2 linked regions of the Lonchura striata genome follow. The protein of the gene in region 2 interacts with the protein of the main gene of each other region in a pairwise test. Links are inferred from orthologs where the notes say so. Each region holds a gene or a part of one and is shown on either strand. Other genes may lie near its edges.

Region 1 (6,387 bases), on a different chromosome or scaffold from region 2:
ATCCCATGTTAACGCATCACCAACTCTCACATTCAAAGCCTTTTTAGAGAAATTTAATAGTTGGGGCACTAATAACCACCCACAACCCTTAATTCTGAGTGATTATTCCAAGCACAAATTAACAGATCTGGGCCATTACTACCCCAACTGAATCATTCAGAGGGGTGGGAGGGAAGAAAAAAAGCAATACTCTATGGGAATGCCTCAGGATTAACAGCTTTTGTACATTTCCAAGCACTTTTGTCAATAGCACCCCTTGTGTAATAAATTCCTTTTCTCGTTCCTTTCACACTGTTTACAGGCAGATGACTTAGAAGATTGCAATATACGCTCAAATAAGATTTTCCAAGTTACAAGAATTATTCACTTCAGGTAATTTTATTCTTTATAGTCTCTACATATTTGAATTTTTACTTGATAAATTCATAACAAGGTATAAGTATTAGAAAAACCAACAAAAACAACATAAATCAAAGCCAACAGTTGGTCCCCAAAGAATAAAGCAAGCAATCAGTTCAATAAACACACTTGATTTATTTTGTATAAAAAGGGTTAAGTTTACAACTAAACTTTTATAAAAAGTTTAGCATGATTAAGTACATCATTACACTTTTTGCAGAAATGTGTATTTCTGCCACTATACAAGAAAACTCTAATTAAAGAGTTCACAAGGTTTCACTCATATATATATATATTTATATATAAATATATACACAGCATTCAGTCCTAGGTTTGTGTCAAAAAGGTAATTTCTGACCACAGACTTTCCTAAAAAACTGAACACTGGATCCTTCCGGTACTCACGCTCCACCTTTGGAAAAAAAGGCAAAGTCTGCTTTAAAATGGGCAACTCCTTGTGAATTTTTGTTTCGCTCCCCACGTTGGGAATAGTATATAAAGGAAGCCTTCCAACTAGGGAAAGGGTATTTAAGAGTCTCTTCATAAATAACTAGGTTCAGTCCAAGTTGAAAAATGGGGTGGGGTTAAAGATCAATCTTGATTTTTTTCTTCTTTATTCATTTTAAAAGTTCCTTTTACTTGAACGTGGATTTTCCCCTCCAGGTACAGCTGAAAAATACAGCACCTCAAAAAAGAAAAAAAAATCCTGTAGACATTTTCTTGTGCAAAAGAAAAAAAAAAATCTCATCAGTGGAACACCTGCAAGAGATTGAAAAGAGGCGTATTTAGGAGAATGCTAACAGGGCAGAGATCCGGACAGACTGGCGCCAGAGAGGAAGCCACAGTTTGAACATTTAACCAAACACTCAGAGATTGGGCAAACCCTGGCGTCCAGATGCAACACATACAAGCTCACACACTCGCTCTCAAGAGCACAAATTGAACATAAAAATAACATACACTCCAGGGAAAGGCTAGAAAGAGGATTCTCAGTCCAATCTTTATTTAGATCTCTGTAAACGCAATGCTCAGAGGCGCCAGTCTGCCTCTTGGAGCAATTATTTGATTAAAAGCAGTCACTTATTTAACTGATAGCGCAGACAATCCCACATCACAGAATTCAAGGAATTGTGCCAAGATTCCCAACTTAATCAGTCACTTTGGCCCAGGAAGTTAAGGCTCCAAGAACAGATAAGAATTTGCATTAAGCAGCGAGCAGGATCAGAAGAGCCTGTGCTGCAGGGTGAACCTTAGCGACACACACACGCTTAGGACCTCAAGACTCAGTTATTAGTCTCATTTCTTACCGATTACAAAGGCATTTCCCAATCAACTTTTAGGACTTATTTTTAGCATTTGCTATCACGCCTCCCATTCCCCGGGGAGGCAGTTTTTTACCCGAAGTTCGGGAAAAAGGCGCACCGCACTCACCGTTTGATTCAGCCACAAAGTGCTTTGCTGTCAGTTGACATGAGCTCTGAGGGGAACTCGGACGCCTGCGAGAGAACAAGAGCAGGGTAAGGGCGAGGTGGCCGAGCACTCCGGGGAGGCCGGAGCGGGTTGTCCCGGCCCCCGCGGCGCTGCCCCGCGGAGAGCGAGCGCACCGCGGCGCCGCCGCCGCAGCTCGGCGGCGAGCGGGGGACGCTCGTACCTGTAGCGAGAGGATGCTGATGTCTGTGTTGAGGGTGGTCAGAGGAGTTCTGGAGGAAGGGTTCTGCCCGGGTCTCTGGTGGTGCAGGCTGACGATGCTGGGGTGCGAGTCCAAGGCGATCTGCAGGTCCAGGATGTAGTCGATGACGTGCTGCAAGATTTCCATCTTGCTCACTTTCTTGTTCTGCGGGATGCTGGGCACCAGCTCCTTCAGCTTGGAGTAGCAATCGTTCATATTGTACAGCAGGCTCATAGGGTCATCCACGGGGGTCTTGCTCCGGGAGATGCCCAGGTTGTGCTCTGAGAGGCCGGTTTTCCTGACGGACCGCACCGGGCTGAAGGCTTTCATGCTGGCAGGCGGGCGGGCGGCGGAGAGCGCGGTTCTGGCGTGCGGGCTGGAGCCTGCGGAGCGCTGCGCTGCCGCTCTGGCGCTGCCGGAGCTCGCACTGAGGGCTGGCTCTGCGCGGCCGCTCTTATACGGCGGCCGCCGCCGGGCCCGGCCCGCGCTCGCTGCCATTGGCTGCCGCCGGCACGTCCATCACCGCGGGGCGCCCTCACTGGTGGGGCCTTCCGCCCGGTCAGCCAATGGCAGCGGGAGGCGTGGCCGCGCGCACAGCTGAGGGAGTAAATAGTGCGCGGGGCTGTGCGGGCCCGCGCGGGGCTCGGGGTGGCAGCGCCGCGGTCCCGCCCGGCCCCCTGACACCCTCCGTGCCCCCTGACACCTCTCCATGCTCCCTGACACCTCTCCGTGCCCCCTGACACCCTCCGTGCCCGCTGACACTTCTCTGTGCCCGCTGACACTTCTCTGTGCCCCCTGACACCCTCCGTGCCCGCTGACACCTCTCTGTGCCCGCTGACACCCTCCGTGCCCCCTGACACCTCTCTGTGCCCCCTGACACCCTCCGTGCCCCCTGACACCTCTCTGTGCCCCCTGACACCTCTCCGTGCCCGCTGACACCCTCCGTGCCCCCTGACACCTCTCTGTGCTCCCAGACACCTCTCCGTGCCCCCTGACACCCTCCGTGCCCCCAGACACCCTCCGTGCCCGCTGACACCTCTCTGTGCTCCCTGACACCTCTCTGTGCCCCCTGACACCTCTCCGTGCCCCCTGACACCTCTCCGTGCCCCCTGACACCTCTCTGTGCCCCCTGACACCCTCCGTGCCCCCTGACACCTCTCCGTGCCCCCTGACACCTCTCTGTGCCCCCTGACACCCTCCGTGCCCCCTGACACCTCTCCGTGCCCCCTGACACCTCTCCGTGCCCCCTGACACCTCTCTGTGCCCGCTGACACCCTCCATGCCCGCTGACACCTCTCTGTGCCCCCTGACACCCTCCGTGCCCGCTCCCCCTCCGCCGCGCCCCGATCTCTGCACGGGCTCGCACCGGTGTGCGGGGCTGGCGGCGCCGCGCCCGGAGCGCGGTGCGGGATGCGCAGGTCCCGCTGCAGCGAGGGGTGCCGAGGTCACCGTGAGCTGGAGCATCCCGGCGGTGTTTGCACGACCCCGCTTAGCGCACGGCAGCGAAAGTCAATGGCCGGTTTGCAGCCAGCGCTGTAGGCAGGAATGAAATAAACCAAGATTAAAGATCAAATAAGCCTTTAAATCCCACTGCAACTTTCTGTCCTGATGAAAACGGGACACTGAGCACCCCAACAGCCAGGCAGGCGTCACTCTAGCGCCCTGCTTCCTGAGAACAGGGCTACTTCAGATGATGCTATTAATTGGAGATCATTAAGCAAATCTGCATATTGGAAGTGCATTTACATGTATTACCCTTGAAAAGCTGCTCATCTGCGCCCTATCAGTGCTCGTGACACAGTACTGTCATTAATTATGCATAGATTGTTTCTGGTGACAAATGCAAATGCTTACTACACGCTGTACTTTTAGCAGCTTTTGGTTGCAGCCAATGAAACATCTTCCAGAAACATTCCAGAGGAAAAAGTTTTCGGGGTTTTTCTGGTTTGTTTTTTCTTTTTTTGCTAGAGAAGTGACTTTGATTTTTTTTTTTAAGTTTAGTTCCATTTTATTTTCCTATATTTTGCTTATGCTACGGGCTGTAAAACAAAGACACAGCTTCCACCTTCCATTCCACACACTACCTAAGGAAAGTTCAACTTACAAAAACGTGAATGTATATACACAACTAATATAAATGAAATTCTGCCCAAATCGCAGCAATTTTCTAATAGTAAAACCACACAGATGCCTAAAGCGCGTTAGTGTTCAGTGCAAGCAAAACCGTAGTGAACGCATACATCCATAAAATCAGTGAGGATTGTGCTGCCAATCATAAATATTAAAAGCAGACAAATACTGGATTTATCTGCACTGTTGTTGCATAGCTACACGAAGGGGGTCGGGGCTGTAAGAGAGGAACATTGCGGACACTTGGAGACAAAGCTGCGAAGAGCCACATCAGTTATTTTTCCAATTAACGTGGCATTCCTGAGCTGGTGGTTGGTTATTCTTTTAACCGGGCACTTCGGCGACTGTCACACCGGGGTGTTTGCCCCGGGGCTGTTCTCCGGGGTGGACTGGAGGCGGTGCCGAGGCTGATAGGAACACAATTCAACGCGTTTTGAAACACGAAGGGTGAAAGTGAATCTCGACATTCAATCTGACAGGAAGACAAGTACACTGTTCATGTGCAGTTACAGAGAGTAAATAATAATAAAAACCATCCTGCCAATTAAGGACCCACTCAAAATCACGACTTAGGGCGACTTCAACCCTTACATCTCTAAGATACCAATTGGTGGTGGAACTTGACCAGCGGCCACTGGTTTTGGTCCTGCAACATACTTGCGTTTCTGTCTAATGAAGGCACCAGTGGAAGAAATGTGGAGTGGTTTGGTTTTAATAATAGCCAACGTAAATATGTTCATGCTTCTCCCATCACTGTTTGTCGTTCTTGGACAGCGCAGCAGCACCGGCCGGCCGGGCGCTGCAGAGGATCCTGTGTTACTGCTCTCGGTTTTCCACACCAAAGACTTAACACGCTTTTTGGAACACCGGGAAGTTGTGTGGAGAGTCTAACCTGGCTATTTTTTCTGTCAGCAAATGACTGTCATATGCGCTTTCTGCACGCAAAATAGAGCCCGGGAGCAGCCAGGCTCCGCTTTCCCCAGGAGAGCGGCTGAAGAGTCTTTCCCTAACGTTGCATTCCCTCAGTTCCGCTGTTTTACTATAGAAAGCTTTGGCAGCGGCTCGCTAGCTTTGGGAGCTCCTGCGCTCGGGCCCCACGAGCGGTCCCGCTGCCCGGCGAGCCGGGGGGACTGCGGGGCGGGGGGGAGCCGAACCCACCGGGGAGGGGACTGCGAGCTGCTCCGCGGGGGCTTTTCCAGGCCCCGTCCCAGGCAACTCCGAGTGCCCCGGGAGCCGAGCGTCCACCTCTTTAGTTTTCAGCCGGGACTTTTACAGCCACTTCCCAGCCCCGAGACGCCGCCGCCGCAAACATCTGGGAGGAACCGCGTCCACTCGAAGCCACGCGCAAAGCGCCGCTTTCGCCTCCGCGCCCCCGGGATCACGAACGCGGGGCTGCGCTCGGTCCCCCCGCCCGGCGCCAGCCCGCGGCGGCGCTGGGTGCGCGGAGCGGCGGCGGGAGCGCGGCCGCCCCGGGGGCGCCGTTCCCCCCGCGCCCCCGTGCCCCGCCCCGCGCCCGGGGCCGGCCCGGACTGCGCGGCGCCAGCCCCGTGACATCAGCCCCTCGCCGCCGCCCCCCCCGCCCGCGCCGCCCGGGCCCGGCGGCGCCGCTCAGGCGGCTGCCATGGCGACCGGGGCTGCGCCCGCGGCGGCGGCCCGGCCTCGCTTCCCCCTCCCGGGCGCACCTGCAGCGGGGGCCGCCGCCGGACGCCTCGCCATGCCGCGGGGGGAGGACGAGGGAATGTGGGAAGGCGGGGTGGGGGGGGGGGGGGGATAAGAGAGAGGGAAGGGTAAACCGGGCAAAATCGCGGATGGACGCGGGGGGAAAGGTGCCGCCGCCGCTCGCCCCCAGCCCGGCTGCCCTGCGGGGCCAGGTTGCCGCGACCCAGGCGGGAAGGAGCGGGCCGCGCTTCCGAGGCTCCGGTGTGGGGTAGAGAGTGGGGGGTTCGGTCCTGCGGCACCCCTTCCCCTCCCTCCCCCTCCATGCCAAAAGAGTGTATTTTCATGGTTGTTTTGAAGGCTGCCTATTCTGTCGCCTCTGAAGGTGTTCTCAGCCCAGCTCCAGGGCCGCACAGTCACCCCGGCCAGGCTCCCTCCGGTGTGTGTGCGGGCGAGGGGCTCCGGGCAGAACTGCGGGGCTGCGCTGCCGCCCCCCTTGGGGACCGGCGCGTTCCTCCGCGGCCCTGTCCCCT
Region 2 (7,683 bases):
GGTGGGGGAAGGAATTTGGGCTCCACCATCACTCAGGCTCACTCCTTCTGGAGGGGAACAGGGACTCCCTTCAGCAACAGTTTCCACCGCAGGCAGTATAGGGCATGTGGAATTATCTGTGGAAATCCTCTCTACAATGCTTGAGAGGCAATCGAGACTGGAAACAACAGAACTCTTCCCATGCTTTGGATCTGAAAAACAGACAAAAAAGTGCTCAGATTATCCAGTGGGTAATTAACATCAGTGGGCACTACACATTTGTGGGCATGTGAAGACTCAGAGGAAATGAGTATTGGTGAAGGACACCAATTATCAGAAAACAGATTGTAATTTCGAAATGGAAGAGAGGTCCAACCACAGTGTGCTGCTCTGGGGAAAGGGAGGATCTAAGGCTTCACTGAGTCCATAGAAAGGGAAGAGCAGATTTGAAATCAGTCATAAATTACTCCAATTTGGATCAATGATAGAGTACGAAGTCTTCATGTAGAATATAGATAATGCTGAAATTAGTTGCAGAGAATAACATACTTCTATCCAACTGTTAGATTTGCAAAATGGGAAATACAGATATAACACATCCCCATATTTGCAAATACACCTAGAAGAAATGCAGTGCCTCTACCAGCAACAATGGCTTGCTGGCTGGAAAGGCAGGTTTCTCTCTCAGCCCAGCTGGACAGGGAGCAGGCACAGGAAAGCTGCTGCACTGCCTGCCTCTGTCTCGGTGTTTCACACCGCCCTTAGGGCATGTACTCACCATTTGGGGACTCTGTGTAGTAGCTGCTGTCATAGCTGTTCCTTCTGCGAGAGCTGCAGGGAGGCCCGCTGTACTCCATCTGGGAAGGAGAGAAATCCAAGTGAGATCAGACTTTTACCCAAATCCCAGGAACCATCTAATTTCATATTTCAGGCTCTGGCCATCGTTCCAGTCCTGTCTGGAATGCCATCAAGTTGTAGATTCTCTGAGTAAGGAAAAACATGGCTAGAAGGGGGTCCACCCCAGGATATTTTATGTGGCACAGCTGTTCCACAGGAAAGTTATCACCCTTGCATCGAATGCTGCAGCTTTACAAATGAGATGAGGCTTTCCAGAATTCTGATCAGATACAGCCCTTCATGTATCTTTCGTTTACAACAGAGAGATTTGAGTGTCCTGAAACCTGTGTGAAATGTGAATTGTCTTTTTAATTTAGTTTTTAAAGATTTTTCTAAACATTAATTCCTCTTTAAAAGCCTCAGTCTACCCTGTTCCTTTGTATTTCCTTCAGTTTCTCTTCCCATTTCCATTTCATATAGAAAGTGCTCTATGAAATTGACTAATGCATTTTTTTTCCAATACTTTAATCCACAATGAAATTCCTCTATTAAAAGAGGTTGTATCTTGAAGAGGAATAATTTGTGTAAATCTCTCCAATGTGTTAAGTCTTTCATAATCACAGATACACAACTCAGTAGTGACTATCCCCACCAGAGCACAAAAAGCAATCTCTGGTCTGAAAGGGCAGTTCATGGCCTATCCAGAGAGCTGTCCTGGACTCTGGTCACCGCATCCTACCAGCCCAGAGTCACACCAGAGGCTGAACCTACAGCCCCAGCCAAAAGATGTGGGGGTGAGACACCCTCTCTGGCACCCACCCTTCTTCTCCCATGCCCATAATGTACAATCAAGACAAAAAGCCTGGATTCTCCTTCCTATTGCTTGTAAAGATCTATGGAGGGGATGAAGTGCGAGAGAAGAGAAATGGAGAATCTTTTTCTTAAGGGTCCAGAAAAATAACTCTTGTTGCTTAGACACTCCTCCTGTTGTAATGATGAATGGAAGAAAACAAAACCCAGACTCTTACCAGTTCCTGTGTAACTACCATGTCCTAGAGGGCCCTTGCTCTCTGCTGTCCTTAGAGGATTCAAAGGTAATGATACAGCAGAAGATGGAAACAGAGATGCCTCAGGATCTACGGGATCACAGGCAATGCCCCCAGGGTGCCCATTCCAGGCAGCTTCCCAAAGTTCTCCCCCAGCAGCTTTTCCCTGGCTCCTCCAGGACATGGGGAACCTGCCTAACTTCTTATCCCAGGGAACAAAATGTGTATGAGATTCTTCTTTCCCAAAACTCCTGTCATGTGGGGACCCCACCTCCCTTCGCCGCGAGTGCTCAAGGCACGAGAAAGGACTTTGTCTTCTGCCTGGGGAGGTACAGAAGGCAGCTGCTATAGGAAGGGCAGGTGACTTGCCCTGCTCAGGTTTGGACCAACAGCGTCCAGGGCACCTTGGTGGCAGGGAGTCCTCCCTGGGGCACTCACCATGCCATCGGAGCAGTTGGAGCGGGGGCTGGAGGCGTCCGACTCCCCGCTGTAGTGCTCCAGCACGGGGTAATAAGCGTCCTCCTGCTCCCGCAGCAGGGCCTGCAGGCTCTCGATGTAGCGGATGGCGTTGCGCAGGATCTCCACCTTGGGCAGGCGCTGGTTGGGGTTGGTGGAGGTGCAGCGCTTGAGGGTCTCGAAGGCCTCGTTGACCTTGCTGAGCCGCCGGCGCTCCCTCATGGTGGCGGCCTTACGGCGGTCGGCGTTGGTGGTCTTCCTCTTGCACGCCTTGCAGGCCCACAGCAGGCAGCGGCCAGCCTGGTGGTGCCCGCTGGGCGCCCGGACGTGCTCCTCCTCGTGCCCGTGGTGGTGCCCGTGGTGGTGCGGGTGCTCCTCGGGCTTCAGCAGACCCCCGACGTGCACCAGCCGCGGATCCAGGTCCTCGAAGAAGTGCATGTCCGACGTGTTGAAGCACGGGTCATCGTAGAAGTCATCGGCGGCTGTGAAGGAGCAGAGGGAGCCCTCCGTCATCTCCATGGGGCCAAGTAAGTCCATGGGGGCGGCAGAGGGGACAGCGGCCCGGCCAGAGGGGACAGCGAGGGGCTCGGACGGAGGGGCCTTCCACCGGGCTGCTCTGCCGAGCCGAGACTCTCGCAGCCTCTGCCAGGCGAGGCCACCAGCGCTGGCTGCTGCCCCGACCCCTCCGCAGCCGCGCCGGTCCGGGAGCGCCACTCGGGGCCGTATTTATGGCCGAGCCCCCCGGCGCGGCGGGTCGGGACGGGGCGGGGCGGGTCGGGGGGCGCGGCCGGGCGGGTCGGGGGCCGGGGCGGCGGGGGGGCGCGGTGTCCCGCAGGGGCAGCGGCAGCCCGGGCGCTCGGATGCGCGCAGGGCTACATTTCCCCCGGGTTTTGTTTTTTCCTGCCTCAGCAGCCCGCCCTGCCGCCGCGCCGGGGAGAGCAGCCGCCCCGATGCCCGAAGGTGCCGGGTGCCGCTCGCCCGGGGGGACGCACCGAACACACCGGTGGCGGCTCCGCTGGTTCCTCACAGGGAAAAAGCCCCCAGCCCCTGGGCAGGTCTGTCCGCGGCTCCACGGACACAAGGGTAATTACTGCGGGGGCGTTCGTGGGGGTGGGCGGCTCCAGGGGACACCGCGGGCAGCAGGGGCCGTGCGGGCCGGCGGGGAAGCGGGGACACCGCGGGGACACGGCGGAGAGGCGGGAGGTGCGGGGCAGGAGGGACGCGGGGACACGGCGGACAGGCGGGAGGTGCGGGCAGAGGGGACGCGGGGACACGGCGGACAGGCGGGAGGTGCGGGCAGAGGGGACGCGGGGACACGGCGGACAGGCGGGAGGTGCGGGCAGAGGGGACGCGGGGACACGGCGGACAGGCGGGATGGGCAGGTGGCGGCCGCCCGGTGGCGCTGCGGGCCTGTCCCAGCGGGAAGCGCCGCCGTGGCCGCGGTGCGCCTGCCTTCCTTGCCTCGGGAACCCCTGCGAACGCTGGCATTCCGGGTTCCTCTTCCAGCTCTGTTCGCCTTCACTCGGAAGCCTTGGGAGGGATGGATCTCAGGTCGCGCCGTGGCGTTTTGCTGCGGTTGCGCTGCAGTTGGACGGCTGAAGGATTATATTCTAGCAGCGGGAGAGTTTGGAGCTTGGGGAAATGGCATCCCATTTTAGTATCGTCTGTCAAGGGTGACAGAGTTTTTACTCTGTTTTTTTGAGTATCATTTGAGATGAGAAATTAGGTTCTCCTCAGAGGAATTAAGTAATTCAATTATGTGATTTCACTGACTTAATGATTAAAATAGAATTGCATATATTTAATGTCCCAAAAGCTAAAAATAATTTCTGTTCTGCAGTTATAAATGTTGGCAAAATTTCAGCTCATTCAAAATCAGCAGCAAAGCTCTGTTTCCAGTGGGATAAGGGGCTGACTGACAAAATCGCAAAAGGTAAAAAACATCCATCAATGATCAATTCCCAGTCCCTGTGCCTATGACTTCTCAGATGGACTGTCATGATGGTGGCTTCTTTTGTTGTTACACGATTTGTTTTTTGGCAAAAATTCCTAAATTGCACTCCCCATTTTCTACTTGCCTAAATATCTTTGAGTACAGACCAAGATTAGAACTGTAAATGGCATTCTCTCAGTATCTCTAAAAGATAAAAGTTTTATTTAAAGATAAAGCTATACGTAGAAATTCATTCTTTCAAAGTACCCAATGCTGAAAAGCAATATGTCCCAAGGAGGGAGATCAGCTACTGGCCACCCCTACACATTTAGAAATGTATCTCCCAGCTGTTTCTGAAAGGCAGAGTGACAATTTTGTGGAGACATTTCAATGTTATTACAGATGTTCTTTGATCCAGAAGCAATAAAGATAGTTGGTTTTAAATCTTTATTGAACAGCTAACAAAGTAAAAATAATTTGTATTGAAAATAGTGCAAGGTATACAATAATGTAAAATACATTTAAATGAGAAAGAGATTTATGCTGTAACAACTGAACATGTAAAATGGGATATGAAGGCTTTGTGCTGGCAGTGTGACCCACTCAAGACACTTAAACTCTCTCTAGACCATTGGCTTAATTTTTGGAAAAATGTAATTTTACCTAATCTTTAGTCATTATTATAGCCTATTCTGCCTTAGTGTGTTTGTAGCTTATATGTGACCCCAGGAAAAGACACTCTGGGACTTGAGTGAGTAGGGATTACCTTGGGCAAAGTGGTAACAAACAGTGGGGCTTGGACAAAGCCCCACTCTTTGGCAGTTGTTGGCAACTACAGAGAACTTGCCAACAATTGCCCATGAGTGTGGGCTCAAGTGCATGAATTCCTTCAAGTGAAAAGGTCAGGAGAAGGCTGTGACCACCAAGTGAATTCCACACAGTAGTCTTTCAGTGAAAGTGCCCTTGAGGACACCTTCCTTTGGGTTTGGACATGCTGGTCTCCAGACATGCCATCCAATCCTAACAATTATGATTCTGTGATTCCCTACTGGTGCCACCACTAACATCTACTTTCCAGTGCAATTCCCAAAGACATGTTTGTCCAGAAAGATGTTGCCATGTACAGTGAGTCCTAAAAAAAACGTTCTTGCAAAGAACAAACCCTGAGATGCTCTTCCCAGTTTTGTGTGGCCACAGTGGAGAGGATGAAGGACAGAACAATCTCCACTTGGAGATTTTCAAGGGCATTCCTCACTCTGAGAGCAGGCAACCATAGGTAGTGTTTATGGCAAGCATTTACAAGGATTCCATTGTTAAACCTCTTTGAAAGCCTCTGGGGCTGTAATCATAATTTCTGTAAAGATTAGGTCTCTCCTGATCTTCCAGTTTGGATGCTATGTTTAGGGTACTGGTGCTGCACTAGCTATTCAGAGCTTTCCCAGGTTGTGTGGAATGTTTGGGCACTGCTTTGGTAGTACAGATACAGAGAGTGTGGCTCAACAAGCATTCAGCAGAGAATTTGTAAAGTTTCTATAAGAGCTGTTTCCCTTAACCTATTCTACATTCATCCTTGGTATATTATTTTTCAGGATGTGATTGAAAAGGAAGCTGGGAAGGCAGAAGCAGATTGTACTTCCTACATTGAAAAACATGGATAGATTCATCCTGTACACAACTGACAGGTATTGTTAAATCTGAGACCATATTCACAAGCATGTATGCCCCCTCAGCAGAAGCAGCATGTGGACAAGGAGAGCTTATTATCTGCAGTAATTGCTTGATTTATCTTTTCTTTTTTGGAGGATAGGGGCTGGGGAAACAGCTGATTTTGAGTTTATCTGGAATTAACAGAATTGTCTTTAGAGGCAAAGGCCCAGAACATGTTCTGGCAAAGGAAAAGGGAGAGAAAAAGACTTAAATCCTCAGAGTATGTGGTTACATTTGGTTAGAAGATGAACATGAGAAGTCTGAGAAACAGACATGGCACTACTTCATGGGAAAATAAGAGTCAAGTAAGTCTAGCTCTGAAAAATTTAGAAGATGTATTATTTGTTATGTTGGACTTTGTTAAATGCTGTAAACCATGGAGGAAGCTGTAACTACGTTTCGGGTCATCAGCTTTTAAAAGGTGAAGGTTGTTGTACAAGTAGGTCAAACATTACTAGTAGTACATGAAGTAGTTTTATGCAGCACTAGTTTAGAATTCAGTTAGTAGCTTTGCTCTGTTCACACTTAGTGAGCTGTATTTTAACACTGAGAGGGATGGATTCCATTGCTCTTATTCATGTTGAGTTGCAGTCAGTGGAACTAATTGTTGAATAAGGTATGCTCAGCATGAGGATGGGTGACGGAATCTAGCCCAGATGGAAATATCTTTTAGACTCCTGCTGTATTAGAGATCAGCAATCTCAACAAAGGCAAATCTAGCATGATTTTAAAAGTGCTTTGAGCCATTCTTGTGGCACTTGGCAGTATTTTTATTAATTAACACAGAGGTTGTTTTAATGTAGTTGTGTTCGCCATCCCCACCCCAAAGCTGGACCACATTCACAGAAAAGATTGGGAAAACATCTGCATTGATTACATTGATTTCTATCCCATGTTACAACACCAACAGAAGGTGGGCTTTGCAGAAATTGCTACTTAATTGCTACTGTAGCTCTATCAGAGTTTACTAAAAATGTTTCATTATGCAGTGCTTTTAGAGTAATGCAGTTTTCTGGCATTTATTTTCACTCCGTCATACTCTTCCATCATGCACAACTTCCTCAGATGCAAAAAAATACTGGCACAGTTTTGTACACATACAAAATCTCTTGGAGAAGAACATGAGCATGCCTGGGTGGTGAATTGAGGAATACACTGGAGATGCAGACATAGAACTGAATTTATTTTTAAGCAAAACAGGAGTATCAGCTAAAGTAGTACACAAAAGTGTGAGGCAATCTTCCAATTAATCAAATGCCAACTACAGAAAAGATGTATATAATGACAAAAAATCCCTAACTGCAGGCAGCTGATCTGGCCAGTTGCTCTTCTTAGGTGACCTTGGGAGCCAGGCTACAGAATGAGGTACTCTGGTAGGGGACTAATGAGAGGAATTTGGACACCTCTGCACTTGAACCAAGCTCACTGACACTGCCCTAATTGAAAGGCAAAACTAATGAGTAACCATTCTCTTTGATGCACTTCTATTTAAGTGTGCTGTTTTTTCACTAGGATCTCATGCCCCTACTTCGAACCAAATAGGGAATATAAGAAGTAGCAGGAGTGCCACAGTAATACCTTTAGTGAGCTAGCTGAGACAGGGCTCTGTATCATAATTAAAGCAATCATCCTGTGTTAAGTCTGGACAAAGCTACTGTCTTTGGTGACACATGCAAAATATGCCCTAGAACCTCTAAAGTTCTCATCTAATGAGAACTCCTAATT

The links. The genes of interacting proteins can lie anywhere in the genome.
Region 1: the proteins of MYOD1 (region 2) and ID2 interact in a two-hybrid assay, tested with the Homo sapiens proteins (2 studies listed by BioGRID). The link is inferred for Lonchura striata from reciprocal best matches to the Homo sapiens genes MYOD1 and ID2.

What each region holds. Positions count from the first base shown.
Region 1 is NC_134605.1:98,358,617-98,365,003, reverse strand, and holds ID2 (DNA-binding protein inhibitor ID-2), read right to left. Parts: upstream 2,492-6,387; 5' UTR 2,399-2,491; coding exon 2,051-2,398; intron 1,896-2,050; coding exon 1,839-1,895; 3' UTR 1,831-1,838; intron 1,159-1,830; 3' UTR 511-1,158; downstream 1-510. UniProt on the Homo sapiens protein: Transcriptional regulator (lacking a basic DNA binding domain) which negatively regulates the basic helix-loop-helix (bHLH) transcription factors by forming heterodimers and inhibiting their DNA binding and transcriptional activity.
Region 2 is NC_134608.1:48,599,496-48,607,178, forward strand, and holds the start of MYOD1 (myoblast determination protein 1), read right to left. Parts: upstream 3,007-7,683; 5' UTR 2,856-3,006; coding exon 2,301-2,855; intron 837-2,300; coding exon 758-836; intron 192-757; coding exon 1-191. UniProt on the Homo sapiens protein: Acts as a transcriptional activator that promotes transcription of muscle-specific target genes and plays a role in muscle differentiation. Together with MYF5 and MYOG, co-occupies muscle-specific gene promoter core region during myogenesis.